Linked DNA regions of Lonchura striata. The protein of the gene in region 2 binds, or shares a complex with, the protein of the main gene of each other region. Links are inferred from orthologs where the notes say so. Each region holds a gene or a part of one and is shown on either strand. Other genes may lie near its edges. The genes, in order: AP1S3 and AAGAB.

What was found.
Region 1: the proteins of AAGAB (region 2) and AP1S3 are in contact, whole or in part, in a crystal structure (PDB 9DDT), measured with the Homo sapiens proteins. The link is inferred for Lonchura striata from reciprocal best matches to the Homo sapiens genes AAGAB and AP1S3. Residues at the interface, in NP_078942.3 of Homo sapiens: Asn51, Lys52, Tyr53, Tyr54, Glu108, Val109, Met110, Ile111, Gln128, Ile132, Gly135, Phe136, Glu137, Asp151, Phe153, Pro154, Glu155, Arg161, Gln164, Ala165, Asn167, Ala168, Asn169, Val170, Met176; in NP_001034658.1 of Homo sapiens: Arg10, Gln11, Lys13, Arg15, Gln37, Leu40, Ser41, Arg61, Tyr62, Ala63, Ser64, His85, Val88, Asp92, Phe95, Val98, Glu100, Leu101, Asp102, Ile104, Phe105, Asn106.

Annotation. Positions count from the first base shown.
Region 1 is NC_134612.1:9,421,258-9,437,195, reverse strand, and holds the start of AP1S3 (AP-1 complex subunit sigma-3), read left to right. Parts: upstream 1-7,469; 5' UTR 7,470-7,479; coding exon 7,480-7,500; intron 7,501-15,938. UniProt on the Homo sapiens protein: Subunit of clathrin-associated adaptor protein complex 1 that plays a role in protein sorting in the late-Golgi/trans-Golgi network (TGN) and/or endosomes.
Region 2 is NC_134613.1:23,170,887-23,186,487, forward strand, and holds the start of AAGAB (alpha- and gamma-adaptin-binding protein p34), read right to left. Parts: upstream 8,093-15,601; 5' UTR 8,072-8,092; coding exon 7,996-8,071; intron 2,392-7,995; coding exon 2,201-2,391; intron 1,694-2,200; coding exon 1,597-1,693; intron 933-1,596; coding exon 843-932; intron 1-842. UniProt on the Homo sapiens protein: May be involved in endocytic recycling of growth factor receptors such as EGFR.

The DNA.
Region 1 (15,938 bases), on a different chromosome or scaffold from region 2:
TAGTATCTAGTGGTTAAAAACCTGCGCAGCAGGTCTCCTATAAAATCACCAAGTGGAGTGTTCATCAGCCTCAACTCCTTGGTTTGCACAGGGCAACTTACCTGAAGGAGTCTGTGAGCTCAGTTCAGGTGCTGAAAAACGACACCAAAGCATCTGCTGGCTAGAATCAGAATAAGTGCTCAGTGTTCTGTCTCATTTATTGTGGTACTCAGTGTCAGTGAAAAGACTTCTTCCTGCAATAAAGGATAGTTTGGGGTTTTTCCAGAAGGAAAGCTTGTGCAGTTTTGTTTCCAAGAAAGCGAGCATGTTAGATTTTGTTAATTCCCTACTGTTCTTTAGACAGTAGTTTGTGTCTCTTAATTGAAGCTGACAGGATTTGTTTCTCTTCAAATGCATAGGAAAATAACTTCCCAATTAATTGTAAATCATTGTGAATATATAGCTTTACTTATATGTTTCAGGATTAGCTTCGGAAATACACAAAGCTTGCAGAGATTAGGAGGACCCAAGACAAAGCCTGTTGCAGGTTTACGCATCTGACATTTTAGCAATGGCTTCTTTTCACATAAATAATGCCCAGAGCCACCAAAACTGCTGCTTAGGAGCTAGGGAAGTTTTTTCATCAGGTGTAGGCACTCAAGGCTCACTGAATCCACTGTAACTCTTGGTGTGAGTGTTTTCTACTTCTGAATATGACAGGCTGCTAGGAGAGTGGAATATAAGCAAAGAGGATAAAATACGCCAAAGCAGTAAAAAGCTCCTTGCCTCTCTTTAAAGCCTGTTTCAAAGAACCCTTAAGAAAGAAAATGTTTATACTCCTTCCATGCAGAAAAGGAAGCCAAAAAAGAAGGGTCTCAAACCTGCTTTTTGCAGCAGTTTTGAATTAGAGAAATAAATATGCATTACTTTGCAAACATTCATGTTCAAGTTAACTAACTGGGCCTAAGGGAAGCGCTGGAAGGAGCTCATGTTGTGGCATTTAACTGGCATAAGTTCACCCCATTGGTTCACCTGGCACAACTGTGTGCCCCAGCTGCCTCCCCCTGCTGAGTGACATTAATAGCTCAAACTTCCCAGCTAGGAACTACTGATGGTTATCTTCTTTATAAGAAAATTATACAGCTACACAGTGCTAGTGGAAGAGAGACAGGGAGGGGAGAATTCCAAGTCCTTTCCATGGCTAGTTAGGCAGTCATTAAGTGCAGCCTGGCTTTCTGAGCTGGAAAGGATCTAATTTAGGCATGATCCTATATCTGCAGGCTTCTATAGGGCTTCTCTCTGCCAGCTTTCAAGATTGGCCATAATAGGCTGACTTTGGTTACTGTTCTTAATGTTCACTCTATCCATGTGGTGTTTGCTGCTGCTGCCGCTTTTTTCTGATTACTTGCAAAAACACACAAGCAGCAGGCTGGTTCTCTTGAGTTTATGGCCTAATTAGGTAAGATCTTTGCATAGGAAAATAAAATTATAGGGGAACAGTTGTTAAGCAAAAAAATATTATTGCCCATCACCTGAGTAAGTTACACAGGTAGGGAGTCAGGGGTATGTTCATCCCTTAATTTTAAATTCCTTTTGGAGATGGAAGTATTGATGCCTCACATCTGTTGCACTGTGGTGTCCACGTTCTTGTGTGTTAGGCAAATCCAGTTCTGAGTGTTCCCTGAGACCTGGCTTTCCCAGAGCTGCAGTGCTGTGAGCACTGCCCGTTCACCAAGGCAGTGTTTGGGGTTTAAGTGCAGGTCAGCCCCTGTTCTGCATAGGCCACAGCAGGTAGAGCTGGGGGTGCAAGGGACAGGGGTATGAACATGGTTATGGGGAAGGCAGACATCTCCTGGGAGAGGCGGTATGGGTACTGTGGCACTTTGTGTGTCTTTTGGAGAATGTGGTAAAAGGTTTTGGTCTGCTTTAACAGATTCTGATTGTACTAAGTATGTATTTGGCAGGCTCACTGAAGGCAAGGTGGTGCCCCAGTAAAAAACCAGTGAGGCCCGTGCTGTCTGGCAGCACGGCAGGGTATGTGCTGCACCCCACAGCACAAAGTGTGAGATGTTCCTGCCCTTTGGAGATAGTGCTGCTTTATGGGCGCGGGCTGTGCACTCGGGAAGGGCAGAGGCCAGGGCAGTGAGCAGATGGAGTATCTCTGAGATCTGTGGGGCAGCTGGGCCGTGCACTTTGTGTGTGTGGTGCACTCCAGAAGTGAAAGCAGAGCACTAGGCAGCCGGCAGCATCACAGCACAGTGTGCCACGTGCTGCTTGGTGGGCTGGGGCTGCAAGATGCAGAAACCACAGCTCAGCAAGCAGCCGTGAAGGACTCCAGGAACAGTGTGTCTGTATAGACCAACCCAAAACTTAGGGAGGGCTGAGCAGAGTAGAGTCATGCACAGTTGGGAAAATGTGGAAATTACCTCCACGCTGTTGCACGAGCATAAGGAGCACACACCTGCATTTGCACTCTGCTCTTGCAAATTTGTGCTTCCAAATGGGAGCAGGTTTCAGCCCAACTGCCCTCTCTATTGTACATGCACAATTGCTTTTAGCCAGGGATCTCTCTTCCTTCTCTGAAGCCAGAGGCTGCAGAAGGGTTGTTGTTGACACCACAGGGATCCCTGAAGTCCCCAGGTGCCTTTGCATTTCTTTGCCTTTCTCACTGATAGCTCACATGCACCACTGCACCCAGGAGCAGGGCACAGTTCTCCCCTGCCTGTGCAGCTGGGATCCATATCCTGAACTGATGCATGCTGTGCTCTGGGAGATGTCTCTCCTTTGGACTACAAGACATGGGACTTAAGCACTTTATGCTCCTGCAGTAGTTTGTATCTGGATCAGACTCCTCGTAGAATTGAGAAGCCTTAGGCCTGGATTTAGATCTTTTGATTCAAGTGCTGAGTGTGTGGATGTTGCACATTCTTTTGGCACCAGCTGCTTATCAGCAAATCCCTGCCACAGGTTACGGGGATTTACTGATGTCCTGCCCTCTCATTCAGCTGCATCACAAAGCACCGGTGAGCCAAGCCCAGCCACTGTGAAGGTATTTAAACCATCAGAGTTCCATTTTGATGGAGATGGGCAGCAGAGCAATCATGCCTGTAGATCTACTCGTGTCTTTAGGGCATGGACGCTTGACGGGGGATGACCTGAAGTGCGTTTTGTTGGTGTCGGCTCTGCCGAGGTGAGACAGGCGCCCTGGGAGCGGCTCACCGAGCCGCAGGTGCGGCCGGGCCCCGCGGCTGTCAGCAGCCCCGCCGCCGGCCGGCCCCGCCCGGCCCGTGCCCCGCGGCGCTGCCCGGGCGGCGGGAGGAGCGCCGCGAGTTCCTTTCGGGGCATTGTGGGAAGCCGATGCGGCCCGGCCTCACCTGAGCGGGGCGGGCGGGCCGGAGCGGCGGGCCGGGCCGGCTCCCAGCCAGCCGCCGCACCATGGTGAGTGAGCGGGCCGGGCCGGGGCAGCCGGGCCCTGGGCGGGCGCGGAGCGCGGCCGGCGGAGCGGGGCTGCCTCGGCACCGGCCGCGCCGCACGCTAGAGCCGCTCCCAGGCGGGCTCGAGCGGGGCTCGCACCTGTTCGGGGGAAATGAAAGCCCTCTTCTTTTCCGTTTTGTTTCCCGACCCTCGGGATGAGCTCGGGTCACGCCGAGAGCCTGCCTTAGACGACCAGGGAAGGCAGGCTGCTACAGAGGGGCTTTTAAAAGTCTTCCTGTAACTCGAGGAGCTGAGGTGCGAGTCGGCTCCAGTGCCGGGAGAAGGATCGATGAGGTTTCCTGTGGGTCTGTCTGTCTTTAGGCTGACTGGCGGCGGTCAGTGTAGGGCGGTGGGATTTCTTGTGCGGGATCGTTGGGAAGAGCTTTTCCCCGGCTGTGTTCCCTGTTGTCAGGTAAGTGGAGGGCTCGCACTGCAGCCCCGCCTCCAGCCCGGGTGCTGCTGCACCGCGGCCGGCTCTGATGGGGCTTGGTGGGATTTGGCTGCGCCTTTCCATCGGCTCACGAACGCACCAGCGAGAGCGTGTGGGTCTGGTTCTGAACCTTCTGTCGGTCACCAGTGGCACCGTGCGACCCGGCTCCAGGGCTGGGAAGGGGCAGCAGCCCTTCAGGTTAAAGGGCTGACGGACGGGGTCCGGGAAGGGAGAGCCTTCGCCTCTCCAGTGCTGCGCTTGGTGCTGGTTTGCTGTGATCAGAAAGGGGTGCTGTGGATGCTCTCTTTTGTTAAGAATGATGGCCAACATCGGAGTACAATAGCTAGATTTTCCCCAGAGGGGACTGCAGGCTCCCAAGTAGAGGTGGTCAGTGATGCCTTTTAATAGAGAAACCATCTCACTGCTTGATAATTCAGGCTTGAGGCAGGTTCTACAGGCATGCCCCGAGCTTCTGTCTTGCACAATTTGCCCATTGTGCGCACCTGTAATACCAGTTGCTGGCAGTGCAGCTGAACAGAAGCCTCTCAACTCCTTCAGTGGAGGCCAAGCGCTGTTGTTTGTCTCTATCCTCAAAGGCAGAGCTGTGTTGTTTCTCTTCAGTGGTTTAGCCAGAATGCTAAATATGTGTTAGTCTCCTGTATTTAGAAAGGTGTACCTGTCATTATATTTGCAAATAGAATATGCACAGTAATGAGTTTACAAATGGCAACGCAGTCTCCACACCTTAAGTCCCTGTAGAGATGTGACTTTTCTGGTTACACCCTGAGATAGCCCTACATACCCAGTTCCCTTTGGTAAAGCTTATGTAAACAACTGGAGTTCCTATTTTGCCCTTGAAGGTCAGTTAATATGGGAGCTGATTTCAGGGAATGTGATCTCCGAACTCTCCTTGATGCGGGTACTTCACAAATGCCAGTTTTCAAAGCACTCACGATAGTCCCAGGGGAGCACTGCTTTTACAAGAGTGCTGCTATTGATGATCTGGAGTCTGGCTGCTGTATTGATAGTTAGAATTTTACAAGGTGAGTGTGCATTTTTACAAGTAAGAATTTTATTTTTATTTTTTGTTTGAGGCCATAGTACAAACACTTGCTGGTGTTACTGCATCATATTAGTGCTGTCAGCCTTACCCTGTTCTTCTCTTGAGGATCTGGTGCTGATGAAACAATGCTTTTGTCAGGGAGCTCTAGCTTTAAATTCCTCTTGTCATCTAGTCTCTGGAAAGGGGTTGTTAACACTCGCTTATGAGTCAAGGAAAAAGGGTTTGCTGGTTTATAAACCAAGAATAAGCCTTATCCAGGCTCATGAGTGGTGAACTTTACACAGGCCATTGAAATTTTCCATAGACTGGTTCCTCTGTTTTCCAAGTTGTGCTTGCCACCTTTTTCTGTGTTTTGAGGTGGAATTAAAGGTGCTTGTGCAGATGGTGCCATGTCTTAGCAAGAGGGTTGTTCCAATTGTTTGCTCTCTGCAGATTTCCAGGTAAGTTTCAGGGAAGAGTCTGTTCAGCAGAGCTGATTTCATATCCAGCTAAGAAACACAGCTTTTATGACCAGCTTGTGCTTTGTGACATGTTTGTTTTTTTTTTTTTTTAAATTGCTTTTGAGAAAGACTAAATTCTGCTTCCTGATATATGTGGGTGCAGCAGAGATACATGTTATGAAGGATTGCTGTCTCAACAGAGTGGGGAGAGAGCACAGAGGAGAAAAAGATAAGTCTCCCCAAGGACATGTGTTACTGTTAGTCTCTTGTGCCTGTAAGTGTTGCAACACCTCGATCCTACTGCTGCCTCAGTGTTACCAGGATTACTTTTGTGAATACATACAGAGCTCTGCTTGCATAGCTCTGCTCAGAATTGGTGCCTGTGTAGTAAAGGGTCTGATTCCCGCCTACCTGTGCTGCTCATCACTACAGGGAGACAAATTAGTACTTGTGGGCTTGATCTGAAACCCTGGAGAAAGATCAAAAGAATCCCATTGAGCACCGTTGCTCTAAAAATGTACTTGGCCTGAATAGAAAAGGAGTTGGCAAGCACTGTTTCCACTTAGCAAGACTTTGATAACCAGTCACTGATCTAGAAGCTGGGGTGGAAATACTAGTTGATGTGACTGCTGCTGACACCTCCCTGGTGTTTGGAAATGAACTCTCAGCTCTTCTGAATATTGAGATCATCAACACTCTCAATGCCCTTAATGGTGAAAATGGATGTAGATCTGCAAAAGATGTTTTCAGTGCTGCACAGAATTTACTATTTACAGTTCTAAGAATGACTGCTTATTTTCCACTCATGATACAGCTGTGTATTGGCCGCAGGAGGACAATGAACTTTGCCTCTAGGCATTTACCTCTGAAAGACAAGGAAGGCAACAGATTAGAACAGATGAGAGGAGAGAAAATGACAAATAAATTAGTGTGTTGTTGGAGGCAGCAATTCTTATACTAGATGACAAAAAAAAAAGTTCATGTGGTATTTCTTTGTTGATTTGTCTTGTAGTGAGTTTTTACTATGGTAGTACATAATGGCAATGGAATGGCATCCTGTGTAGAAGATCCTGAGTTTGTAGACTTTCTGCTTGCAAAGGGGTGACTGCAGGGGAAGTGATAGAAACACATGAAATCATGAACACTTGAAGACTGGTTGCTCTACAAAGAATCAGGGTACATCCTGTAAAATATTTAGTCACTAAATGTATAAAAGATAAATGGGAATACTTTTTCACACAGTGTAGATGACTGTTTTCGGTCCACTGCTGAGCGTGCTGTGGGTGTCCCAGTAAACCCTCTTTACATAGAGGGTGGGGCCACAAGTGGGTTGTTTGCATGCAGTTTCTGTACCATAATTCTTAAACCTATTGATTTTTGGAGGTGGGACTACCAGATGATTTTACACATGCTCTGTTCCTTATGCTTGTGTCCTTCTGGAAGCTGCTTAGATGAGAGTACAGTTCAGGGGCTGATCTGGCATTCTGTTACTCTCTGTCATTCAGTTGGATTTCAGAACAATGTTTTGTGGGATTTGTGAGGAAAAATGTTTTTACAGTTCTTTGGAAGTGTGTAATCTCTGACTTGCCAGTTTTGGATGTTCTTTCTCCGAGTGCCCATGACCATTACAGATGGTCACTTTTTAATACTGGAGCCTGCTCAGGCCATGTAGGAATTGCCATTCATGCTTTACTATCCCTGGATATTAAGCTCATTCCTGAAAAGCAAAAAAAAAAAAAAAAAAAAAGACAATCTGCTCATTATTTGCTTAATAATCAGCAGTGTAACAATATTTTCTTTAAAAAAAAAATATATCTTTTGCTCAGAAATAAAGATACTGCAGGCATTTCAGAGCCAGGAGTTACTAGGATGTGGGATGCCTAGAGGGCTTTAGAGAAAGCATTTAGGGATGGCAAATGCAGGAAGAAGGCTGCAGGGATAATGGGCAGCTGGGTCTGTCATGAGGCAAGAAAATGACAGATTTTGCTGCTTTTCCATGTCTTTAGTTGCTCCAAAATCCCATGCTTTATAAACGATCCCATGGACTTTCTGAAGCCATCAGTTACCTGCAAGAGCTGCAAAAGGACAAAGTGATGAAAGCACTGAGGAAACTGGTGAGTCAGGGAGGGCAGATAGAGCTACCCCTCCCTCAAGCACCTGCAAGATTTATGCTTTGGCATCCACATCAGGCTGTGAGCCAGTCATGGTCTTGCTAGTGATGCCTAAATTAAAACAATACTGCTTGTGTGAAAAGAATTCTATCACATGTGCCCTGTTACTGATTTCCATTCCTGCCCTTTCATTTCCTACTGTCCTATTCCTGCAGGCTGTCATCTGCATTTTCTTGGCTGAGTTGGCTCTGTGCTTTCTTGAGTGCCACTCCTGGGCCTTTGCATTTCTGCAGATGTTGCAATGTAGAGAGGGAATTGCAAGATCCTGTCCTGCAAGCATGGCACATCATTTGGGAGTAGGAATACAGCATGTAAAGGCTTTGGGTTAGGATGTAAAGGTGCAATTTACATTTGCGTGTTTGAAAGCAAGCTTGGCGTGCCTGTCTGACCTGGAATGTCCTGATGTGTGTTTCTCAGTATTACAGATACAACCCCAGGTACTCCATGCACCAGTGTTTTTTTCTTCTCTAGCTTGCTGAGTTTATGTAGGATATCCATCTGCTCTCCTCTGTTAAGGAGGGCATTAAAATCCCTCTTCACTAACCAGTAAATGCCTGTTGTTGCCTTGCTTTTGGAGCTTGGGGATAGTTTTGCTCAGACACTCAAGCAGTTCTCAGTGGCTTGTTAATCAGCACAGGAGCTCTGTGGTCACCATCCTCTGCTTAGCCCCCTGGGGTAAGTGATGGGCACTAACTACAAAGGAATGAAAAATAGACTCTTTGTTTGAGTGAAATGCAGAAATGTACCATGTTGTGCCTTTGTTGTGCAAGGCTGTGTGCTGGAAGGAGAGCAGGTGGGGTGTTGGGCGAGTGCCTGTGTGCTCTGAGCTCCAGGGAAGCTGTGGGAAGTGCTGCATGAGACTCAACAGCCCCTGGGCTCAGGAGATGGAATGGGAAAGAGGCAGTACCCCAGGCATTTCCTTTCTTTGAAGTCTCATGACAGGACTTGGGAGAAATAGCAGAATGAATTTTTGATCCTTTCTCATTCTACAGGTTAAATATTGGATCAACATATAAAGCATTTTGGAAGATTTTCTGCTCTGGCCCTTGCTTCTGTAAACAGTGATTGCTTCTTTTATGTTTATACTTAGGTTAAATCCATGTTAGTTTTTACCTTAATGAAAAAATGCCATTTTAAAAGGGAGAATGGAGAATTTCTCAATTGAAAATGCCTAAGTTTAATGCTTCAGTGTTTCCAAAAGATTATTCTGTGCTCTTTCAGAGTTGTAAACATGATCTCAGCTCATATGTATCTTTAGTCGTTTTGGAGCTCAGGTTTTCTGTGAGCATCTTTGTTGGGAACTGGAGGAATGGGTATGAGGCTGCTGCCAATATGCACTGTTCAATCTGCACACGGGAATTGCCAGGCTGGAGTGCTCAGCTGCCTGAGGAGCCAGGTTAGCTTGTCACCATCTGTGTGTGCCTGCTCTGTCCCAGAGCAAAGGTTTTTAACTTTGCTCCTGGAGAGGTCAGAGGCAAGGGAAGGGCACTGCAGTGCCTTCATGTAGCAGGGAAAGCCCAGTAAATAACTGATAAGACAAAGTGGAAATGAAACTAAAAGAGAAACCTTTTGCTGGAATCCACTGAGTGAGATTTTAGCTCTGTTTCTTCACTTGGAGTTCAAGGAGCAGGCTGGAAAAATAGCTTCTTGTGCCTGTAAAGTGCACTGGGGTTGTAGTGAATTAGGGGTAGCTCTCAGCAGCTTGTTCAGCCTCTCCCCTGGTCCTTTCCTCCTTGTAGAAACCTAGTGAAGTGGTCCTCTGCCTCCCAAAATCATGTAAGCAAATAAAAACATCTAAGAGCCCAGCCTAGGAGGCAGAAGGGATGTGATTACCTAGTTAATAATTGTTTCAAATCTCTTCAAACTGCTGCTTTCTGTGAGCTCAGCAGGCTCACATCCCTGCTATGTGTCTTGTGGTGACACTGAAGGGACAGTGGTGTGGCTGCTTCCCTGGCCTGCTCTCCTATGGCAGAGCCTGAGGCAAACTCCAGCCTGGGTCTGTGCTTGCTTATTACCTGAAAACTGCAGTAATTCCACTTGCAGGAATAAAAATTTAAGAAAATAAAGAGTAATTATCCTCCGTAAAACCTGGATGCCATTGCCTGCATCCACCCCTTTGGAACTGTTTTGGAAATCTGTGCTGCCTCTGCTCTCCAGAGCAGTGCAAGAAGTCTGTCCCTGTTGGTGGGACAGCCCAGCCTGTGAGGAGGAGGCACAGGCAAGCCTGTGCTGTAGGGAGGACACTGGGCAGGAATGTCACCAGCTTGTGCCTATGCTGTAGGGAGGACACTGGGCAGGAATGTCACCAGCCCATGCCTGTGCTGTAGGGAGGACACTGGGCAGGAATGTCACCAGCCCATGCCTGTGCTGTAGGGAGGACACTGGGCAGGAATGTCACCAGCCCATGCCTGTGCTGTAGGGAGGACACTGGGCAGGAATGTCACCAGCCCATGCCTGTGCTGTAGGGAGGACACTGGGCAGGAATGTCACCAGCCCATGCCTGTGCTGTAGGGAGGACACTGGGCAGGAATGTCACCAGCCCATGCCTGTGCTGTAGGGAGGACACTGGGCAGGAATGTCACCAGCCCATGCCTGTGCTGTAGGGAGGAATGGATTCACTGGTGAAGGAATGCCACCCAGTTTGTGAGGGATGAGCCAAGGTGAGGACTCCTATAGAGATAAGTGGGAACAGAGCTAGAAGAAGCTTGGGCACTGAGAAAACTCCTTGAGCTTTGTTTTCTGGTTCTTAGTTAGGGGTCAGGAGTGAGCAGCTTGAGCTCACCTATACTGTTTTGATTATAGTTTTATTTAACTCAAGTGAGGCTATCAAGAAGGTTGTTGCTGTCTGGATTGATAGCATATGTTATAAATATCCTTAAAATGCTAGTGTGCTGGTCCATTTAAATCTTCTGTAATAAGATAAGGGTGACTTCTGCATCATGAAAAGCATAAAATCAATGTGTAACTATGGTCACGTGTGCCTGTAATGATCTGGCACAGCTTTTATTGCATGGACTTTGGATGTATTGTTCAGGGGAAATTGCTCAGAAATGTTCCTAATGGAGATTAAGTGAGGAAGAATCCTGTGCCAGGTAGGCAGCAATACATTGCTTCAGAATTTCTGTGTTGCTGGGTCTGTGTATATTTTCTTTTTTCTTATTTGCTTACATCATGCAGACTAAGTACGTGTTTGAAATTTTAAAGCTGAGAGCCAACAGTGTTTAACAAACATCTGTCAGCTCCTGTGCTGCTGTGAATAAATGCTTTAGTGACAGAGCAAACAAGTAAGGAAATTAATATTTTTAATAAAGTAGTCTGTTTTGAATTTTACATATTTGCTTTAGAAGTGTCTGAAACCCCAGAGTGTTTATTAAAGGTCAGTAGCCAGATGGGATTTCATGTAACAGCAGAATACCAAAATACCTGTACCTGAATGTGTTAGTATACTGTCTTGTCCTGATGTGGGTAGATTGCTAATAGGTCAATAGGTCTGTTCAGTGCATCTTTCTCATTTCACCCTAAACACCTGGCATTCCAAACCAACTGTGTTCACTATTTTTTTTTTTTAATTTCAGTATTTACTTTCCTCCCACCTTCAAAACAAAACAAAAAACCCACCTCACTGAACAAAGCAAAAACTAAAAGGAATTTTTTATTCTTGAAATGTTTTAGAGATAAAAAAAAAAGCTAATGGCTGGAATAATGTGAATGTTCATATTTTTTAAAAGAGAAAATTTAATGAAAGTAGGTTTTGTTCATTTTCAGTTGTGTTGTACAAATAAATACTGATAAAACATCTGGACAGCTGTCTATATTGGGAAATAGATTCTTTCATATCAGAGGAAAGAATGAAAAATAGTAAAAGAGAAGCAGAATATGAACTCCATTAGACTAAAACAGTGGCAGCAGATCAAGCAGACTTCAGGGAAATTAGACTAAGTTAAAAAAGAACTTTATCATGGCAAGTAGCTTCCTCTCCACCAGGTACAGCCAGTCAGGCTGGTTTTCCCCAGGCTTCTGTTGGCAGCTGAAGGTCTGGATTTTCATCCCACATCCCATTTTATGTGGTGTGGGAACTTTCATTGATTAGCATGTCTTGTATTGTCTGTTGTCCTACAGAAAGTTTTTAAGGAAAGCTGAAAGTTTCCTTGCTCTGCCAAGATGTCTGTTCAAGGATAGCAATTCCTAAGTTGCAGATTTTACTTGCCTGTGAATTTCAGGTGTCTGTTTTATAAAGGTGGCTTTGATTTTGGAGGGCTCTTAACCGAATTTGGAGAGGTTCCAGCTGAAGCAGAGTGTAAGCCCAGAGCTGCTGAAGTGACAGATCTGCCTCACAAAGTAAATCTTTGCCCAGCCACACACCCAGACAGGAAAGGGGATTCTTGCTCTTTTTTCTGCAGGCTTCCTCTTCTGCCTTCCCTCCCCTGAGGCTCCTTGATGAGTTCCCCTCTCCTCCCCCGGGGACATGGTGAAGCCAGATGCCACAGAACAGGTTTGGAACCGGTCAGCCCATGTTATGCAGGTTGGATTACAGGAAGAGGAGCAGCAGTTCTAGTGCTTGTTCTTTCTCACAGTGGGGTGAATTAGAGCCTCTTGCACACCCCTGGAGATCACCTTGTAGGAGGAAATGGGACATCTTTTACATGTTGGTGTTATTAAACAGTGAACTGGAGAAATTGCTCTAGGAAAGTCTCTTTCTCATGTATTCATTTTTATCTGCTACCCCTGCAAGTGGCTTGTTGTGTATGTAGTGGAATGCAGCCCTTTAGACAGTTGTACTAATTGTTGCAGATTAGGTTAAATTTTAAACCCTCTGTAAAGGCAAAAATGATCCAAGTTTGAAACTACTGAGCCAGTTGTGATGTGTTTGATCAGTCTGAAGTGTGTAATGGCCAAACAGTGGGGAAGGCTGCACCAAAGGGGACCTGCAGTCCTGGCAGGGAGCAGTCCAGAAGACAAGCTTGGGTGAGCTGCTTATCAGATTGTTACAGCCCATTAGTTAAAGGAGGGAAAGGTCTCCCAAAGAAGGTAGAAGGAAATCACAGTGTGTGTTATTTCATCTAGCTCTCTCGTATTTGCTGCTCATGAATATGTAAACCTTTTGTATTTTGCATTTTTGATGTCTATTCTATTTATTGGTAAATTATTTTATGTTAAAGTCTAGCATTTGATTTTTTTAAATAGCCCTGAAACTAAGGGTGTTGGTTTTTATCCTGGTACAGTTTTGTAAATCTTGATAGAACAGAAGGCCCCATAACTTTCCAATCTGTTAAGTAACTTTCTGCTGCAATTGATTCATAAATGCACAAGAAGGGGATAGAGTTCTAGCTTAGAAATTTTTAAATGTTTAAATGTTTAAATGTTTGATCTAAAAAATAACCCCAAAAACTATTTTTCCAATAGCCTACAAATAAAAAATGCAGTCATTTGGACTATTTACTGATGTTTATGGAGGTCATTTTGCACAGTGCTGTGGGTGGTTGGGTCTGATTCATTAAAACAAGCTAATAAAATTATTCTCAGCTCCCAGACTAAAGCTTGTCTCCACAGACTCCACATGTGAAGGAAACCAGTGCTCTCTTAGGAACTTACTCTTCATCTCAACTCACTCAGTCTTGGACCTAAAAATTCCCTCTGGCATCAGCCCTGGGTCTGGTGATTGTTAATCACAGCCAGCATGCCCTGGGATGGTAAGAAAGGGAGCCAAGCACCCTGCTTTCTAAGGTATTCTGCTTGTAGCAAGTCATTTGCCTTTGTTTTCCTCTGGAATTAGAACTTTTAAAGATGATTAAAGCATTGCAGGGTAATCTGCTTCTCTTTGCAGTTTGGCTGCTGAAAATGAACCAAAAATTTCTTAATCAACATCTATCTTGTCATCAGCACTATAGGAAAGCAAATATGTTTTCACAGTCAAGGAGCAAGGAACAGATGAGCTGTTAGATCTGTGTTTGTGCAGTACTTCAATATTATCAGGTTTATTGATGCATCAGAGTCTTTCCAGTGGGATGTAATGAACAGAGCCATGAGAGTGAGAAATGTGTTGTGTCATGACAGTGGGGCTGGGCAGAGCAAAGCTGAACTGAATGGAACAGCACTGGATGTTGAAATTGAAAATGCTAAAAGCCATTTAACCTTTTAAGAATGTATTATTTACCTCCTAAAGAGTTTCCCAAATTGAAGGGGCTTCAGAAATTAGAAAAAGGAAGAAGAACCAAAAGAGGAGAAACCTCACACACGATATTTTTGCTTTTAAGTACCTGCAGCTTTCTAATAAGCTGTTTTGTTACATAATTCTTAGCTGGCCAGTGATATGTACCTGGGCTTGAGGGTGCACTATTTTGCTGTGGACTATAAAATTTAGAATTGTGCATTTTCTGTCTATATTTCTGTAATAATAAAATTGCCACATGAAGTACGCAGTTACAGTCTGCATATGAAACAGTGTGGGACAGAAGACCCAAACAATGAGATTTTTGGAGCTTGTGTATGAATGTTCATACATTTAGAAGCATTAATGGATATTTTCTGATTGCAAAGAACATTGCCTCAGCTCATAAAAATGGTGGTGAGACATCACCTACATGTGTAGAAGAAACAGTGGAGTTCTCAAAGCAGTTTTGAGTGGAGAGCAGCTCACTTTCCTATAGGTGAAGCATGACATCCTCCAGTAATGTAATTGGCAGAAAGTGGTGGAAATATTCAGTTATTCCCTGGTTTGTTGGTATTTAACCTTTTAGAGGCATAAGGTTGCAGTTCTGCAGATATATATGTATTACATGCAGACGCTCAGATTTAAGGTCTCTTGAGTCCATCAGCTGACCCTAAACCAGAATACCTTTTCATTTTATTTTCTTATTGAAGCACTGCAGGCAAAGGATGCCACAAAGCTCACAGTCTTATGCTGTACATGCTGTCAAGTTTTGATAGAGATTCATTGACTCATTCTCTGCATTTTCAGTCAAATTTGTTCATCCTCTCCTGTCAGATGATTCACCATATTTTTAGAAATTTGTTTATCAAAGAGCTGCTTCCTCTACTCAATGGCTTTTGGATGGACTCCTGCTGACCTGCTGCTCTTACCTTTGGAACCTATGCTCTGTTTTCAAAACTGCCTCATCTTTACAAGGGCTTTGGAGTTAATGTGCTGTGCAGCAAGCAAAATTGCCTTTCATTCAGCCAGCTCCTCTCAGTGTCCAAGTGTATGGACAGTGAGTGGTGTCCCTGCATCACCTGAGAAGGGATAACTCTGGCAGCTGGAAGATTCCCATGTTAAAACCCTGCTAACATGAACAGAGATAGGCAAAACCATGGTGCTTTGCTATTCACTGTAATCAGCCATGTGTCCTGCCAGCAACATACTTGTTTTTATTAAGCAAGCTTGTCTGGAGAGTATTATAGGACTCACTAGAATGCAGCTGCAAAATCCTTGTAATTTTATCAAGCACATTACACTAGCAATGGCAAGAGCCTTATATCCAGTAGTAGATCCTGCCAAAGACACACATGACTAAAACCTTCCTCCTTTCCTTAAAATGATCCCACATTTGAAGTCGTTCATAGTATAGTCAGAACTCTTATCTCCAGATTACTCAACAACTGTGCAACTCAATAGCTAGAGAATGGTTCTGAATTATGAATGAATGCTTTGTTTAAAATCCAGTAGCTTTCCCCTTTTTTTTTTTTTTTTTTTGTATAGAAGCTTCTCTGACTTCTCTGCTCAGATTTTGCCAGAGTGTGGAATTATTGTATCTTCACAGAAATCTGAATTGTAATCTTGGTAGGGATTGTGACCTTTAACTTTATAATTCTCACTTGGAAATGTAGTGATGAAGTATAGGTACAGCAATAAACTGGAACAGGAAACAAGGAGCAGAAGGGATTAGGGTAGAGATTGAAAAACCTCCAGGGAAGGATAAGGTTAGGCTAATGGTAAGGGATGTAGTAAGAGACCTGCTGGATCAGGGCTTTGCACGGATTGGGAGCCAGTGAGGAAAGTGAGGCTCCTGTGCTTCTCCTTGGTGCCCCCAAGATCAGGGGAAGCCACCAGTGACTGTATGGACAACTGGCAGTGTACCTGTGACAAACATGGATATAGCTACGGCTACCCTTCCTGCAGACCCCTGGGTCCTGGGATTGGAGCTGCTGAGAGCAGCAGTCAGGATGCCTGGCAAGAGCAGGGCACTTCAGATGTCTTCAGCCATTAAACACATCTCCATCTCCCCCCACCCCCCAGGTGGGTTTGTAGGGTTTTTTTTTCCATTTAGCAGATGTCCTGTTGTAGAATGATGTTGTCCTCAAATTGATGTCCTGCATTCCTAAAGCCATTTTCATGCTCTGGGTGAATGGGATACTATACTGCTAATATACACTATGATCACTGC
Region 2 (15,601 bases):
GGGAGCTCCTCAAGATCCAATTTCAGTAGGCCTTTAAAGGGGAGAAAGGGGTGTTCCAGTGAGGATTTTATAGTGAATTATTTTTGGTGACTGCAATGTGCTTGGAGAACCTGAAATAGAGCAAATGTTAGCGACTAATTCCTCTCCAGCCTGCAGTTATCTCATTTTCCTCCAGAGAGGTAAGGTGTAAATGCTTTTATGTGTCACTGGAGTGAGGAGATAAGGCTGATGCTGATAAGGCTGTCAGGAAGTGCACGGTCACTTTTCACGAGTGGAACACCACACTTCTGACTCTTCTTGCTGGCTTTTTGTTTTTTTTTAAGTTAAAAATGTTGGGCAGCCAGTGATTCTGAAACTGATTTATTTCCTGTGTAACAGCTCGTGTTGCTCTGAAATGTTTTTAACAAGCTGCCATTTTCAGCCTATCATGTCAGTTTGTACCAAGATAGCATAAAGTAGTTTTCAAGTCTTTTTAAAACCAGAATTTTTCTGCCCCCATGCAGAAAAATGTTTCTTTAGATTGATTTTCCAAGTGGAATATAAACTTCTGATGTATCAATAGAGTCCTAGGGCAGTGCCAGAAAAAGAAGCAGATATTATTTTTATGTAGGTCCCGCATAAACAGCAGCTGGATTTGGGAGGGGACAAATGGAATTTCTCAGAGGAAATAACCTCCTCCCCCTCATGACCTTTTACAGCTGAGACTCAGCCCTACCAACTGGGAGCATTCCATGCTGTAACCATGTGGCATATCAGAAATTGCAAGGGGCATAACTTTATTTAGAAGGTATTTTTGGGGCACTTTTTCATTCTCAAAATGGCAAGAGAAGCAGCAGACCTACCATCTTCATCAGGCAGCTCCTCAGGGCTGAGCTCTACCAGCTCAAAGCCATGCTTGATGCACCATTCTTGAGCTTTCTGTCTGTTTACACCTAAATTGGGAGACAAAAATGGGTATTAAAGGTGCAGATTTGAGACCAGCACTAGCATTATTTATCAGAATATTTAGCTGTGTTTTAGTCCCTCAAAGTTATTTGCTTGATCTGGAGTGTATGGCAAAGTGCATGCAGCTGACATGGATCCTCCATTCACTGTGGGTTCCAAAAATAGAGTTAAACTCCTGCTTGGAACTGAGGAACAGAATAGAATAGTTTTGCAGAGGGTAAATGTAGGTGTGAATGAAGACTTCTGTTAACTCTGGGTTTGACACTGAATTAAGCTGCAGGGACACACCTGCATCTCCCAGCTTGCTGTTGTCTAGAGCCACAGCAAATGTGTCTGCTCCATGTCCAAATGTCAAAAAAATGGCATTAGCAACCAAGTCCTCCCCATTTTTCGCAGCAGGATCGTGCACATCCAGCAGCAGGAATGCCTTTTAGTCCCCCTGCAGTGGCAGGACAGAGCTGACTGAGCAATCTGGTAAAATTCTGACTCGGTTCTAACCACATCCCACTGAAGGTTTCAGCTCCTGCTCCCCAGAGCTCTCCAGGCCACTCTCACCCAGAATCTGAGAAGCAAATGTTGATGTCATTAGAAAGTTAATTATTATGCAGGTTAATGGCTCTGAGTGAGGATGGGAGTTTTTGGGTCTCCTACCATTCTCAGATACTCTGTCACAAACCAGGATCATCACTTCTGGCAGCCACTCTTCTGTCAGGGGCAGCCATTCAGAGACACCCTCCAGTCCAGTTTTCTACAGGGGAAAAGAAAAGTCTTCTTTGGAATACATCCTACAATAGTTTTTAATAGTATTAGAACTGAATTATATAAAGAAATAGGCTTTTTTTGTCTCAACCTTTCTGGTTTCTGCTAAAACAGTTTTCACTGCTGCTGGTTTAGTAGAAACAATTTTGGGTGAAATGCCCTGAATTTAGTTTAGCTCCCTAAATTGTGTCTGTCCCAAAAGAGCCTTTAAGAAGCAGCAGCAGCTAGGAATAAATAAGGAGATGGTGAGCTGGATTTGCCACGGTGGCACAATGACTCCTGAAAAACCCTCTTCCAGCTGGAGGAGAGTAGCAAGAGAGAAGGAAACTGCTGCTATTGTTAGCAGGGAAATTTAATAGTTAGTATTTATTACTGATCTTCTGCCAATGAGTAGAACAGCTTAAAGGGGATGGATGGAGGTTCTGATTTATGGTTCTCACTGTGACAGGGCAGCTACATGAGAGATACAGCAGGAGAATGAAGCAAAGAGCCTTACTGTTGTGCTGTCAAAGTACACAACAAACGCCTGCACAGCCTCGGCGATCTCTCCAGTGACGTGGAATGTGTTTGGGACCACACAGAGGTGGATGTCTGCAGAGTAGTATTTGTTATCTATTGTCCAGGGGTAGAAATTCACTCTTCCACTCGTTATTGCACCCACGGTAAGGTCATCTTTTCCTGTGATACCTGCAAGACAGAAAAAGGGTGAGGAGGAGGGTAAAACCAACAGCAAGAAAATAATTTGTCCAGGAAAGTAGAGTGCCAAAGCAGATCCATCTCTATTATAATAAACCAGTGCATAATCAAGATCTTTAAAAATTCAATTCAATTTGCTATTCTGTCCTAGATTTTATTGCTTAGCTTTCAGAAGAGTTTATGTTCTAGTTTTCAATATAAAATATGGCCCAGAAGCTGCAGAAAGCCTTTTGTTTTCCTGGAAATGCCCTTTCAAGTGTTAACCTCAAACTTAGTATCCGTTAACAGGATGTATGGAGAAGAAACCTAAACTTTATTACAACCCTTGCATGCTCATTGAGATGTAAAGATCTGTTTACCTGTGGCCAAAACCTGAAGGTAACTAATGAGAAAATAAAGCCAATTCCTACAATTCAGCTGGAATTCCCATGAAATTCCATGCAGGAGCTCAAGCATTAGGATCCAGTGCTTTGCTCAGGTGCTGCCAAGCTCTGCCCTCCAAGGTAGGAACCTTCCCAGGAACTCTCCTGGAGCTGAAGCAGAGCATCCCATTATTCCTTGAGGGAAAGGCCAGGAAATCTTGTTCAGGCTGGATGAACTCGTGGGCACTTTAGAACACAAGGTCAATTATTTCTAAAATGGACTGAGTCATCCAGAATTGCCTCAGGCAGGAGAAGAGTTAAAGAATAAAGTACATGGCTTTTCAAGGATTTGTATTTTAAGGTACTGAGAGTTCCTGGAGCTGCTGGAACAGGCTGTTCCAAAAAGTCTGGAGATGAATTTGAATTTATCTGTATCTTATTAGTAAAGAGACAGGAAAACCTCCTTGCCAAGGCTGCAGTGATTTTTACAAGTAAACTGCAAAGCTGAGAAATGGATCTGGTGAATGAGCACAGGGCACGAGGCAGGGAGAGCTGCAAACCAGGATTATTTGCAGCCCTGAGGAGGAGGTGGAATCTGAGGGAGAAATGTGACCTTGGAAACAGAAACCTGTAGCCATTTCCTCTTTAAGAGGATGAAATAGGAGTCTCCTCTCTGGGCTTCTTAAAATAAGAAGTGCCACATCTCAATGACTTTTCCAGGTTCAAGTTTTATTTTATTGTTGGATGGCAATTATTTTTCAGAATATCTGGTCTTTAATCAGATGATATTCCATGCAAAGATTATCCACCTCACTTTGGAGCTGGGGGACAAAGATCTGAGTCACGACCGAACAAACCTGGATTCTGAGCTCTGTATTCTCAGAGGTTTTGTTTTGAATATGATATTAATTTCCCCTTGCTAGTGTTTTGACAGTTAAAAATAAGTAACTAAATTAAAATCAGTCTGAGCTAACAGAATTACAAGTCAGTGCCATAGGAGGTTAAGAACAAAAGGGTGCACAGAAATTACTGAAACCCAGGAAATCAGCAGGAAGACTTAGGGAGGAAAATGGGGTGAGGAAGGAAATCAGCTCTAAAGTCACCTGAGTCAGTCACCCTAACAAGGATACAAAGGGAAAGAACTTTCATAAAAAGTTTTCAAAAGCTGATATGGATTTCACATTTGCTTTGTAAGGGATATCTATTTTAGAAGAGTCCATGGACAAATTTAGGTCTCAAAGCACTGCTAGAATGAGGCCATGTCCCATTTCCTATTATTTGCTACTTGTTCCTGTATTTTAAGGGGTTTTCTTTCATCCCATTGTGCTGCTGATTACCCATCCTTCATGCTGAGGTTTTGCCAATTCCCTGTGAAATTTCTCTCCCAGTAAAAAATGGACGTTGCACACTAAACTCCAAGGGCTTCAGGAACCTGGTGAAAGGATTCAGACCTGCTGTGCTCGGGCTGCTTGTGAAGCTGTAAGAAATCACTGCGGGAAACTGAGCAGTTTGTCAGTTTTCTCCCCAAAAAGTCACTTGGAACAGTTTGGTTTTGGTCTGTAGAGCAAATAAGCAGAGACTACAAAAGAAACATACACTGTAACTCAAACTGAGTTCTCATTTGATGCAGGAATTAGCTTTAAGGGCTGTATTTACCACCCCAGTATTTCAGAAATTTCTTTTCTAGACAGCCTGGATTTGAATGAATACAGGAAATTCAGCCAGAGGAGTTTGGTGTCTAATTCAGGGGGAAATGATGAGAATAAACTCCTAGAAAATTAACATGGCAAAAGGAGGTGGCTTGTCCAGCTGAGCCCTTCTGAGGGAGTTCCTCCTTTTTCATGTGCAACTGCTCAGCCAGGGGATGATCTGAAGCCAGTTTTGGCTGCTCCAGCATCACCTCCTGCAGCCTCCAAAGGCCTGTCCTGCACTGGGCGATTCCCCTTCTTCAGGTGATCCCATGACTGGTTTTGCTCTTTTTGTACCAGAAACCATTAAATAACAAACAGCAGCTGACACACGAGATCAGTTCGTGGCTCAGGAACTGACCCTGCCTGGTGTCACACAGCTCCAGAACTTCCAAACTTCTCTGGAACCTCTCCAGAGGAAAAGGTTTCATTCCTTCCAGGCACTCAGTCACTGCCTTCTGTTTTTCAGCAAGTTCACCAGCTGTGTCCCTTCTTCACTCACAAGTATTTATATATTTTAATAAACCAGACAATAGGTAGGTGTGTATATATATATGTGTATATATATATATAAAAAAATATTTTGGAAATTATTTTCAGCTATTAACAAAAATGTTCCCTCATTTTACTGACTTAAATATTGACATTTAATTTCGTATTTTATCATACAGATAAGATAAATAATCATTTTGAACACAAGCAAGAACATGACAATATTATAAAATCTCACATCCCCTCCCATTTTTAATGCTGAATCTTGTTAAGTCTTCTGAAAGTGCAAATACACTTGAAAAAGGGGAGTTGAAGACCAGAAATAACTTTTCAGAAGAGTTAAATAATCAGAGAATCACATGTAGCTCTCTTGCAGTAGTTCTCTAATACCCAAGTGCTATTTAGTCACTTTTAGTACATTATGTGTCTAATAATAATTTTTAAAATTATTACAATTTCTTTATGCAGGTTTTTTCCCCCGAAGAGATTGATACTGACCACTTTTCATAGTGCTTTTCAGACTGAATTAATGTTTTAAGAACATTATGCCCTAAATGCTCCCAAATCCTCAGCTGTCAGGTACACGGAATGGTTCCCACATTCTGGGCCTTGAGAGCCACCTGGTGGAATAAACCATAAAAAATACTCCTAAAATTACACCAAGGAGTAAAGAGAACCCAAATATGCTGGGGAAGGGGAGGAGGGGAGTGGTAAAAATCCAAAAAGAAAAGGAAGAACAATCACATCGGACAGAAGGAAAACTCAACCAATCTTATTAGCAGTTTTGTGACAAATACATCACAATAACAGGCAGATCTATGTTGAGCACGTTAAATAGCTTTGTTTTGCCACAGTGTCCCATGAATTAAAGCATTTAGAGCACCCTGCAGAAACCTCAACAAATAAAAATGTATCTAGCAAATGTACCCTCAGCTGCTTCTCATCCTCAAGCCATTTTCCATTTAACAGGAGGAAAACCCTGGAAAAAGTCTTGGGATTGGCCTGAAAAGTTCTGGCAGGCTGTTTGACCCCACCAAACCCTCCCCACTGCTGCCCCATCCCTGCCTGTGAATGTTTTACAGTCTGCTGCCTCTGAATCTCACTTGTTTTACAAAGCAAGGATTTAAGATGCTGATTGTATTTATTTTATCCCATTATTTTATTTCTTTCAGGAGGATTTTAATGTAACCCAGTCAGAGGACACACAGACAAGACTCCAGATTTGGAACTGGGAGCAGTGGAAGCTGAGGTATTTCAAAGTGAGCGCTAGTTTAAAAAAAATCTGAGTTTAAATGTTACGACTTCCTCAGATTAAGTAGCTTTTTGCTCACCTGCCTTTTCTACCTGTTTCATTTCACTATGCAAAGTAATCAAAGGGGAAACCTAGAGGAACCTTGAGTAATTCCTTCCAATTTGCTTACACCTTCCTCAAAAAATAAGCTAATAATACTATTTTTTTGGTGTGGAATCTTTAAATAATTCAGTGTCCTGCAGCTGCTTTGACAGAGAAGCCTTGGGCTGAATATCTTGTACTGTTATTTTTATTCCAAAACGTGCTTTAGTGAGGTGGAGGGAGGCAGTTCCTGGGGGCAGCCCTGTGCTTGGTGAGGTCCTAAGTAAGAATTGCTCAGAAAGAGAGAAAAACAAATCTAGAGAAGATTTGAGGGAGTTAAATTCCACATCTTGGTGTGCACAGCAAACTGTTGGTGAACTCCCTAAAAACCAAGGCTGTCCTAACATAGGGAGCTCACCAAGATCCGAATAGCTTCTTCCTGGAATTCACCAAGATCTGAACAACTTCTTCCTGGAATCCTCCGATTTTAAAACTACCCAAAATTCCACCATGGTTTCCTCTACTATCAGATCTTATTCTTGTGTTCCCCTTTTGAGCCATAAAAATGGCAAGTGGTTCCTGGGAAAACTACTTCCTACTTGAATGAGTTCTACCTACTCGGTACCAAATGTAATCTGCAATTCTAGCAGCTGCAGAACAGACACAATTTTTAGCTTTCCCTTTTAATCCTTCCCCACTGAGAAAGCGGTGAATTATTTCCTTAAAGCACTAAGGAAGCTGCTGACACCCTCTGCAAGGGGTCGGGGGCTGCAATCCTCCTGTCCTGAGGGGAGGATTGAGACCCTGAGAGAACTGCGACCGTGAAGGGAAAATGAGAACCTGAGGGGAAATTGAGACCGTGAGGGGGAAATGGGGACCCTGAGGGGAAAGTTGGGACCGTGAAGGGATGGCAGCAACCCTGAGGGGAAAACCGGGTCGTGAGGGGACAGCGGTGACCCTGAGGGGAAAATTGAGACCGTGAGGGAGAAACTGGGACTGTGGGGGGATGGCAGCGACCCTGAGGGGAAAATTGGGTCCTGAGGGAGGAGAATTGACACCGTGAGGGGATGGCAGCGACCCTGAGGGGAAAATTGGGACCGTGAAGGGATGGCAGAAACCCTGAGGGGGAAACTGGGTCGTGAGGGGACGGCGGCGACCCTGAGGTGGGAGGATTGAGACCGTGAGGGGATGGCAGCGACCCTGAGGAGAAAATTGAGACCGTGAAGGGACGGCAGCGACCCTGAAGAGAAAATTGGGTCGTGAGGGAGCGGCGGCGATCCTGAGGGGAAAATTGGGACCGTGAAGGGATGGCAGGAACCCCGAAGGGGAAACTGGTTCGTGAGGGGACGGCGGCGACCCTGAGGTGGGAGGATTGAGACCGTGAGGGGATGGCAGCGACCCTGAGGAGAAAATTGGTCGTGAGGGGACGGCGGCGATCCTGAGGGGAAAATTAGGACCGTGAGGGGGAAACTGGGACTGTGGGGGGATGGCGGCGATCCTGAGGGGAGGATTGAGACCGTGAGGGAATGGCAGCGACCCTGAGGGAAATACTAAGACTGTGAGGAGATAGCAGCGAGGCTGAGGGGAGAACTGCGATCCTGAGGGGAAAACAGCCCCCGTAAGGGCCAGGTCTGGAGGGATCCGCTGCCAGCCTGATTCGCGCGGGCAAGCCGCAGCCCCTGGTTCCGCCCGCTCGGGCGCCGCGGCGGCCCCGACTCACGTTTGACGAGCTCCTCGGGCGCGAAGCCCGCGGCGCAGCTGGTGAGCAGCGCCAGCGGCCGCGCCGCCGCCGCCATGGCGCCCGCGCCGCGCCCCTTCCGCCGCGCCGCTACCACCGCCCGCGGGGGGGACGGCGGGGGAGGGAGCGGGCGGAGCGCGGGCTCGGCCCCCGCTGGATGCGCCGTCCCCCCCTCCCGGCGGCGGGGCGGATGGTGCGGCCCGGCCGGCGCGTCCCGTTGCCGGGCGCGGCGGCGCCGCCATGGCCGGAGCGGGGCCGGCGCTGCCGGGTGGGTTCGGACAGCGCCGGGAGCGGCACCTCCCGCCCGGACCGGCCTCTCCCGCCCCGCCAGAGCCGCCGGGACGCCCTGGGGTGTCCCTCAGCAACCTGGGGTGTCCCGCGGCACCGCGGGGTGTCCCTCGGCTGAGGCGCGGCGCGCCCGGTGCTGCTGTGAGGGGCCGGGCGATGCGCTGAGGGGCAGCGGCGTGAGGGAGCTGTGGGTGCTGCTGCGGGGTTCGGGAGCTCGGAGGTGTTTGTTAACGTAAATAACACGGGTTTGACGTGGGCTGTGCTCTCCTCGCAGGCTGCCTGGAGTTTGTGTCTCTCCTAAAGGGTTTTGAGATCCCCTGCCCCGTGAAAGCACCTGCGTGAGGATACATCATTCCTTAAGCGGAGAATCGCAGTCCTGAAGTTTATTGTCACTGCTTTGTGAGGTTTGTTTGAAAATTTAGTTTTTCCAGCCTTTCTGCAATCAGTGAGTTTAAGTAATTGGCTTTGTAGTCTCTTATAATAGTACAGAACCGTATAAATATCTGCATGGATATTTTTTTTCCCGTATTTAGGAATAATTTAATTTGAATTAAATCCTACCTAACCCCATGGGGTTTGGTTGCAGGTATGATTTTTGTCCCAACTTGCTTTTTAGATTCAGGAAGACCTTCAGAAGCTTAAAATGGAAAAAACTAACGTGAAGGGAAATGCAGAAACCATGGATATTTGTGACCTCAGAAACGCAACTGAAAGGACTGAACTTGGGCTGAGAGTAAGTAAAATAGAGCAGACCTAGAAAATTACTCTGTTTTTAAAGTCTGTGTTAATAATTCACTCAGGCCACTTATTTTTTGAGTTACAAGATCCCTTTCCAATCAGCAGCTGATGAGATTACTCAGACATTACAGTTCAGAATGATGCCTCCCTTTTTGGGTCATCAGAATTAAATGATCTTGGTCAGCCAAAATCAGATTTTTAGTCTGACTGAGACAAAAAGTTTATCAGTTTTTCAGTCAAGCAAAGACCCGGTTGCTTAATGAACTGAGTTAAATAAAATTAATATCCCCTGTATCTTTATAATAGGCTAAAAATAATTTTTTCCTTCACAGAAGCATGCTGAAAATTATTTCAATGTTACAAATGGCCAAGAGTTAACTCTTTCTTCAGCTGGTAATAAAGAAGGGAATTCCAAAGAGCCCCCTAAGTGGTGAGTGAAACAGATGTTTATTGCAGCAAGACACAAAAACTGAGGTGATGTAATCATGTAAAGCAAATGGGAGTATTGACCTAGAAAAAGTTCGTTTAGTCCTTTCCTTTTTCGATTTTAAGTTAAAAAAAAATACAAATGTAAATGCAATTCTAGGTGGCCCCAGCAGTGCTCTGCTAACTCGTGTGGTTAAATGCAAGTTTAAATAGAAATACAGTTGTTTGGGTGGAAGCAGAGTGGGTTTAACGGGTGAAATCCAAGCAATTTTTAGGAAGTTCACTGCCTGTTTCTCTCTCCACCAGGGATCTTCCTTTTGGTGCCTGTCAGGAGCAGCTGGTTCTGCCACCAGTTGAGCCCCTGACTGTGCAGAGGTGCAGCAGATCAGCCCCACGTGTGTGCCAGGGCTCTCAGGTCTGGAACCACACCCTGATCCCTCTGCCAGCAGCCACATTCCAGGAGTGCTTGGTGTCCTGTGCATCCCATAATGCTCTGACTGCCCACAGAGTCAGGGTTTGGTAACACCCCATGGTGAAAGTGTTAAAAAAATCAGCAGAAGGAGCAGCTGAGACAGGAACCTTCTCCCAGCCCAGGATAACATTTAAATGGGGAAAGGTTCCAGAGTCATCCATGCAGGTGTGGAACTGGCATTTCCCACCCAGCCAGGCTGACAAAGCCACTTTTATCAGGTGGTTTTTTATTAATAGTTCCAATTCTTGTGACCCCTGTGTGGCAGTTTTTCTCCCTGCATTGATCATTTCCCTGTCAGCCTGAGTGAGGAGTTTGCACTGGGAATCATCCCTGTTTTAATTGAAAGGTGCTCAATTCCCCCCAATTCCATTTTTTTAATAGCAGCAGCATTTCCTCCCTGCATAACGGTGTGTTATAGTAATAAAATAAATACCACAAAAGCACTGATGAGGTGAAAATTGAACTTTCTGTCTCTGTGCAGCCATGTGGGTAAAAGAGTAATTGGCTTGGATAATAACTTGTGTTCTTACAGCCCCAAATCTAAATGAGCATCTCATTGATACATCTGCTTGTAATTACCATCAAAAGAAGAGAGAATATATAGTGCAGATAGATAAATTAAACCATTTTTACTGCTTTACAAAGTAACACAGTTGTTCAACAGTTCAGGTACCCATCTAATGATTCTTGAACATTTTATGGCATATCTTATTTGTAAAAATTGGAATTTTCTTAGATTTATTTTTATGTTCATACAAAAGAATGTGCACCAAAACATTTTCAATTTAAGAAACTTCTACTGTAGTAAAAACATAGGGCATCCCTCTGTGTTTTATAGGTATGCTTTAGGTATTTCTTATAACAAGAAGAAACTTGTAAAGTCTTTTTCTGGCCATTGGGATTTAAATCATCATGATTTTTATTAGCAGAATAGTCAAACTCATTCCATGCAGATCACAGAGTGCATTATGTTTTAATTCTGATTACTATCAGGCTTTTTTAATTCCTCATTTACTATTAATCAGGTTCTGTGCCTGCACTGATGTATCTATTTGGATAATAGTTCCAGTCCTTACAAACTTTTCCATCTAAACAAAGGCTCTTTGCTGTTTGCCCAGTTCAGTGTGGAGTCAAATAATACAAATTTTTATCATCATTTTGCACATTTACAACATGTTAGCTAGTTTCTGCTTCTAAACACTTCAACCCCAGTGCAGTTATTTTAGGGTTATCCCTATTCTATATTTCAGCAGCAGGTGGAAATGGATTTTAAAATTATGCTTGGCCCGGAGAACGTGGATAATAAAGCTGGTTTAAAACATCCCAACGATGAGACCAGGCTGCCACTTATAGCTAAGAAAAAATCTGCTCCTGTAAGTAACTTTTATTATTTTATGGGTTTATTATATGCATTGCTTTGCACTATTAAAGTTCGTATTTATCAGTCCTAAATAAAATTTTACATGAAAGTAATTTCCTCATAATTTCCTGCTTTTTGACATGGGTATTTAAAGATCTAAACATTTTGGGTGGTAATACTGGGAAAAAGAAATCTGACATGGAACAGGTTTATGTCCCAAGATCCCAATTCAGCAAAAATTTGGATATACAAGGCATGTGCATGGTCAGGAGTGTCAGGAAAATCAGGCAGAGGAGATCAGCTGGAGCTTGGGGACTTCTGGGTGTGACCCAGAGATGCAGGAAAAACTAAAAGTCCATTCTCCTCTCTGCTCTGTGCAAGATGAAGTTTTGATTTTCCCAAATTTCCCTCCTGCAACTGCAAATTTCAGTTCTGCTGCCAGTTCTGCAATTGTTCTGCAGCAGTTGAATGTTAAGATGATATTTTTAGCAAAGAATGCGTTAAAAAAAAAAAAAAACAACCCAAAAGAGAACAGGCACAGCCATCCCTCCAAAAAATCAATTATGTTCACAAATTTAGCACAGCACTGCGGTCCACACAGCCAATGGTTCCCACATGGGGATGCTCTTCTAAAATTTAATTTATGTGGCAGAAACATCCTGCAGCAAGGCCAGTGCTCTAGGAGAGATTCTGGGATGTTTGGTTTTAAACAACATAAAGAGAATCTGTGAATGGCACAGTTGTGAGCTGCCACTTATAAAAAAAAATGATTTTTGGAAAGCTGTTGCCCTGACCTAAGAGGTGATTTGTCTAACCCTGTGATAATAGAGTTAATTAGAAAAAAGCATCATGGCTAATAGCTTTTTAGAACCACTCTAAAACACTCACAGAGAGGAATATTATCCAACTGCAGAGAGCCATGTGTTGTACCACTCTCCCTGAAATATGCACTGAACCCAGCAAACTTATTGGGGATTTAAATTGCAAGCATTTAATGTGAATTACTCAGGCTCCCAGATACATATTTACAGTTACTGAGGAGCTGACAGGCTTAAAAACCAAGCAGATTTTAAAGGATTTTTTTAAGGATTTTTAAGCTGGTACTGATGGATCTGAGTTTCTGGGAGAGCTAGAGAGCAGTAGGTCAGGAAAGGGACAAAGCTTGATTTTTTCCAAATATGTGGCAAACAGTTCAGAGCCATCTCTGGTTACTTTAAGCCTCTCTATTCTCTTCAAAATTTTCCCATTTTAGGGCACAATGTGTGATTTGGGGTGTTCTGCCTTCTCTGGCTGTAAAATTTTTGCAGTTTGCTGTGATACGTTTGTTGTTAAAGGTGGTGTCTACCAGCACTTAAGGAAGGTATTTTGTATTATTATACATGATATATATGATTATTAGTGGTAGGGACAATGAATCTGCGTGCAGCTTCAGGTCTAAAATGCCGTTAATTCGGATGAAATTGAGATTAAAATTTTTCGATTAAATGGAGATTAAATCGCTGCGGAAGGGAGGGGCGGGCGGCCGGCAGGGGGCGCTGTCCGTACGCGCACGTCCCGCGGGTGTCCGCGGGGTCCCCAAAAGAATCCCCGGACAAATCCCCCGTCCCCCGAGTAAATTAAAATCAAACTCCCAACTAATTGCTTGTCTCGAGCCACTCAGGAGTTTTCAACGAGCGGCTGAAAGAGTGGTGAGGTTAAAAAGTCGGGGTTGGAGGTGACCTGAGGGGTCAAGCGCAAATCTACCCGGACTTTTTATTGTCCTGCCATTCCAGTAGCTGGAAAAATTATTAGTCAGGGTTTCATTGTTTCACCAAAAAGTGATGTCTTTTCTTGCTCTTTTGGTATTATAAAGTTGCTGATGCTGGGTTTTATCATAGAAACTAAGAACAATTAACTGTTGCCCTTTTGGACCTTTTTGGGTCTAATAATAATGCTTCATCCTCTGCTAAGTTCTGTAGTTATTTTAAAATGAGGGCTGTAATTCTCTTTGAAACACACACTGGGCATCACTTTTTTTTCTGCAGCCTATATCTGGATGAGAGATGAAAAATGGTGAGTGGATAATTATTAAATATGTATACTTCCCATGGAGTATCCAGCCAGAGGAACAGTAATCTGAATTGCAGCAAAAATAATTCTGATGCACTGCTGCAATGTAGGAAAGATTCACAGCTCTACCTTCTGTTTTCATAGGGCTGCTGTTCTATTACAGAATTATACTGGCACTTTTGGGTCCTTGTTTTCTTATAAATGTATTTTATACTGTAAACTTAGGAACCTTTTCATTTATTCATGAGGTAGAATTTAATATGGTGATGATTTCTAGCCTTTATGAGTTGCATCTTATCTAGTGTGGCTCTAATGGTGATGGCAATGATTCTGGGGCTTTTTTTAAGCTCACTTGTTTGAGCACAACCATTCTAATCACATCTTCAATTATTCATTCTTTATTCAGCATTTGCATGCTGCTAATCATTAACGCTTATCCCTGAAAGTGTATTTATTTTCAAAATTATAAAGCAAGGCAGGGAAATTCCTTTCATTTCAAGTGACTGGAAGAAGTTGTAGAAGAAAACCAGGTCTTTAGGTGGCCCAAAGCTGATTGTGTTTTAAACCCAGACATGTGGCTCTAATTACAGCCAAAGCAGAGTTTGGCAGTGGTGGCAGGATGAGACTTAAACAAATTGATGTCACACTACAGTAAATCAAAAGAAACTCCTTGCATTTTGTATTGCAGCATGTAATCATAATAAGCAGCACGGTGATTGAATAAAATCCTCTTGCCACTAAAAATAAAAAGGAAATAATTGGTGAGAGAGAGTTAAGTTAACAGATGAGTGCAGTCAGCATCCTCTCAACCTGGAAATGGGAATGTGAAGGTCACCCCCATCTCTCCTGACAAACGCAGAACGGTGTGTTGGTAAACAAATTAATCTTTTGAAAGGTCACCATTTGTTTTAAGTTTTCCTCCAGTTCTTGTCATCTGGAATGGGAGATGGAGTGTCATTTCACAAGGCAGGGGTGCAGGCAGAGCTGTTTGTGTGCAGCTCAGCATTCCCTGACAGAACTCCCTGCCTGATTGGGATGCCATGGGCTGCTGCTCGCAGCTGGCTCCGGACAGGAAGGGAGGCTCATCCCTGCTCCCACAAATCCTGCCTGCTGGAAGCTGGCCCTCTGCCCACCAGCAAAACATCTTGTGGTTCAAGGCAGCAATTATCTGCCTCACTCCCTTCTGTGCTGCTGCTGCTGCTGTTTGACAGAGCAGATGTGGGATTCACCAAAGTTCTCCCTTTATTCTCTTTCCCACCTGTTAGGGAGGAATTCTGATGGATCTGGGTTTCTGCTAGAGAGCAGTAGGTCAGGAAAGGGGCAAAGCTTGATTTTTCCAAATATGTGGGAAACAAGACAGTTCAGACCATCTCTGGTTGCTTTAAGAGCTTAGAGAAGGTGAGAATAACACAAGATCTGTTGTTAAAGATGCAATTCCAAATTTTTCCAGTTAAATTTGCCTTCTCTGAGCCCTTTCCTGACAGTCTCCTGAACATCCTGAGACGTGACCTTAGCTCCATTGATTTTATTTTGCTGTGCTTTCTCTTTCCCTTTATAGGGGGAAGTGCTGTGTCCATCAAATCCTGACAGGAACTTCTTAACAACAAATATGACAGCTTGGAGAAGATAGATGGAATGATAAATTAACCTGTTATATCCCTTTTTTTCCATCACTATCAAACTCTGATTTTGTAATATTTACTTACCAAATCTCATGTCTCTGTTCCTGGTTTGGTACACAATACTCTGTAGTAAATCCTCTGTATTTAATACCATTTGTTTTACTAGAGGAAAAAATACAAAGATATTTACCAAAAAAAAAAAAAAAACCAACCAAAAAAAGCTGTTCTAGTTAAATATTGCTAGGTAAAAAGAAAACAAATAGAGAACTAATCAGAAAAATCCCTGTGGTGTTCCAACAAGTGCCCTATTTAAAATGAAGCAAAAAGAAAAAATAAAGTAGGAGAGGTTTATCCACAGGAGAAAAACACTTTAGAAAGGGTAATAGAATTGTTTTTCTTGTGTCCCAGGTTAATTACACTCAGAAGCACTTGAAATGAAAAAATAGTTTTTTAGCACACTCTAAGCATATTTTAAGGCAAGTCAGCCTTGTGCTGCCCTGCAATTTAAGAGCTCACTTCCAGCCCTGCAAAACTGAATTTTAAAAGTTCTTGTGATGAAACAGTGATGTTAGAAGCAAACCTTTATCTTGCTGTACTTAATATTGTGTTTGAGGTCCTATTATAATTGTGTTG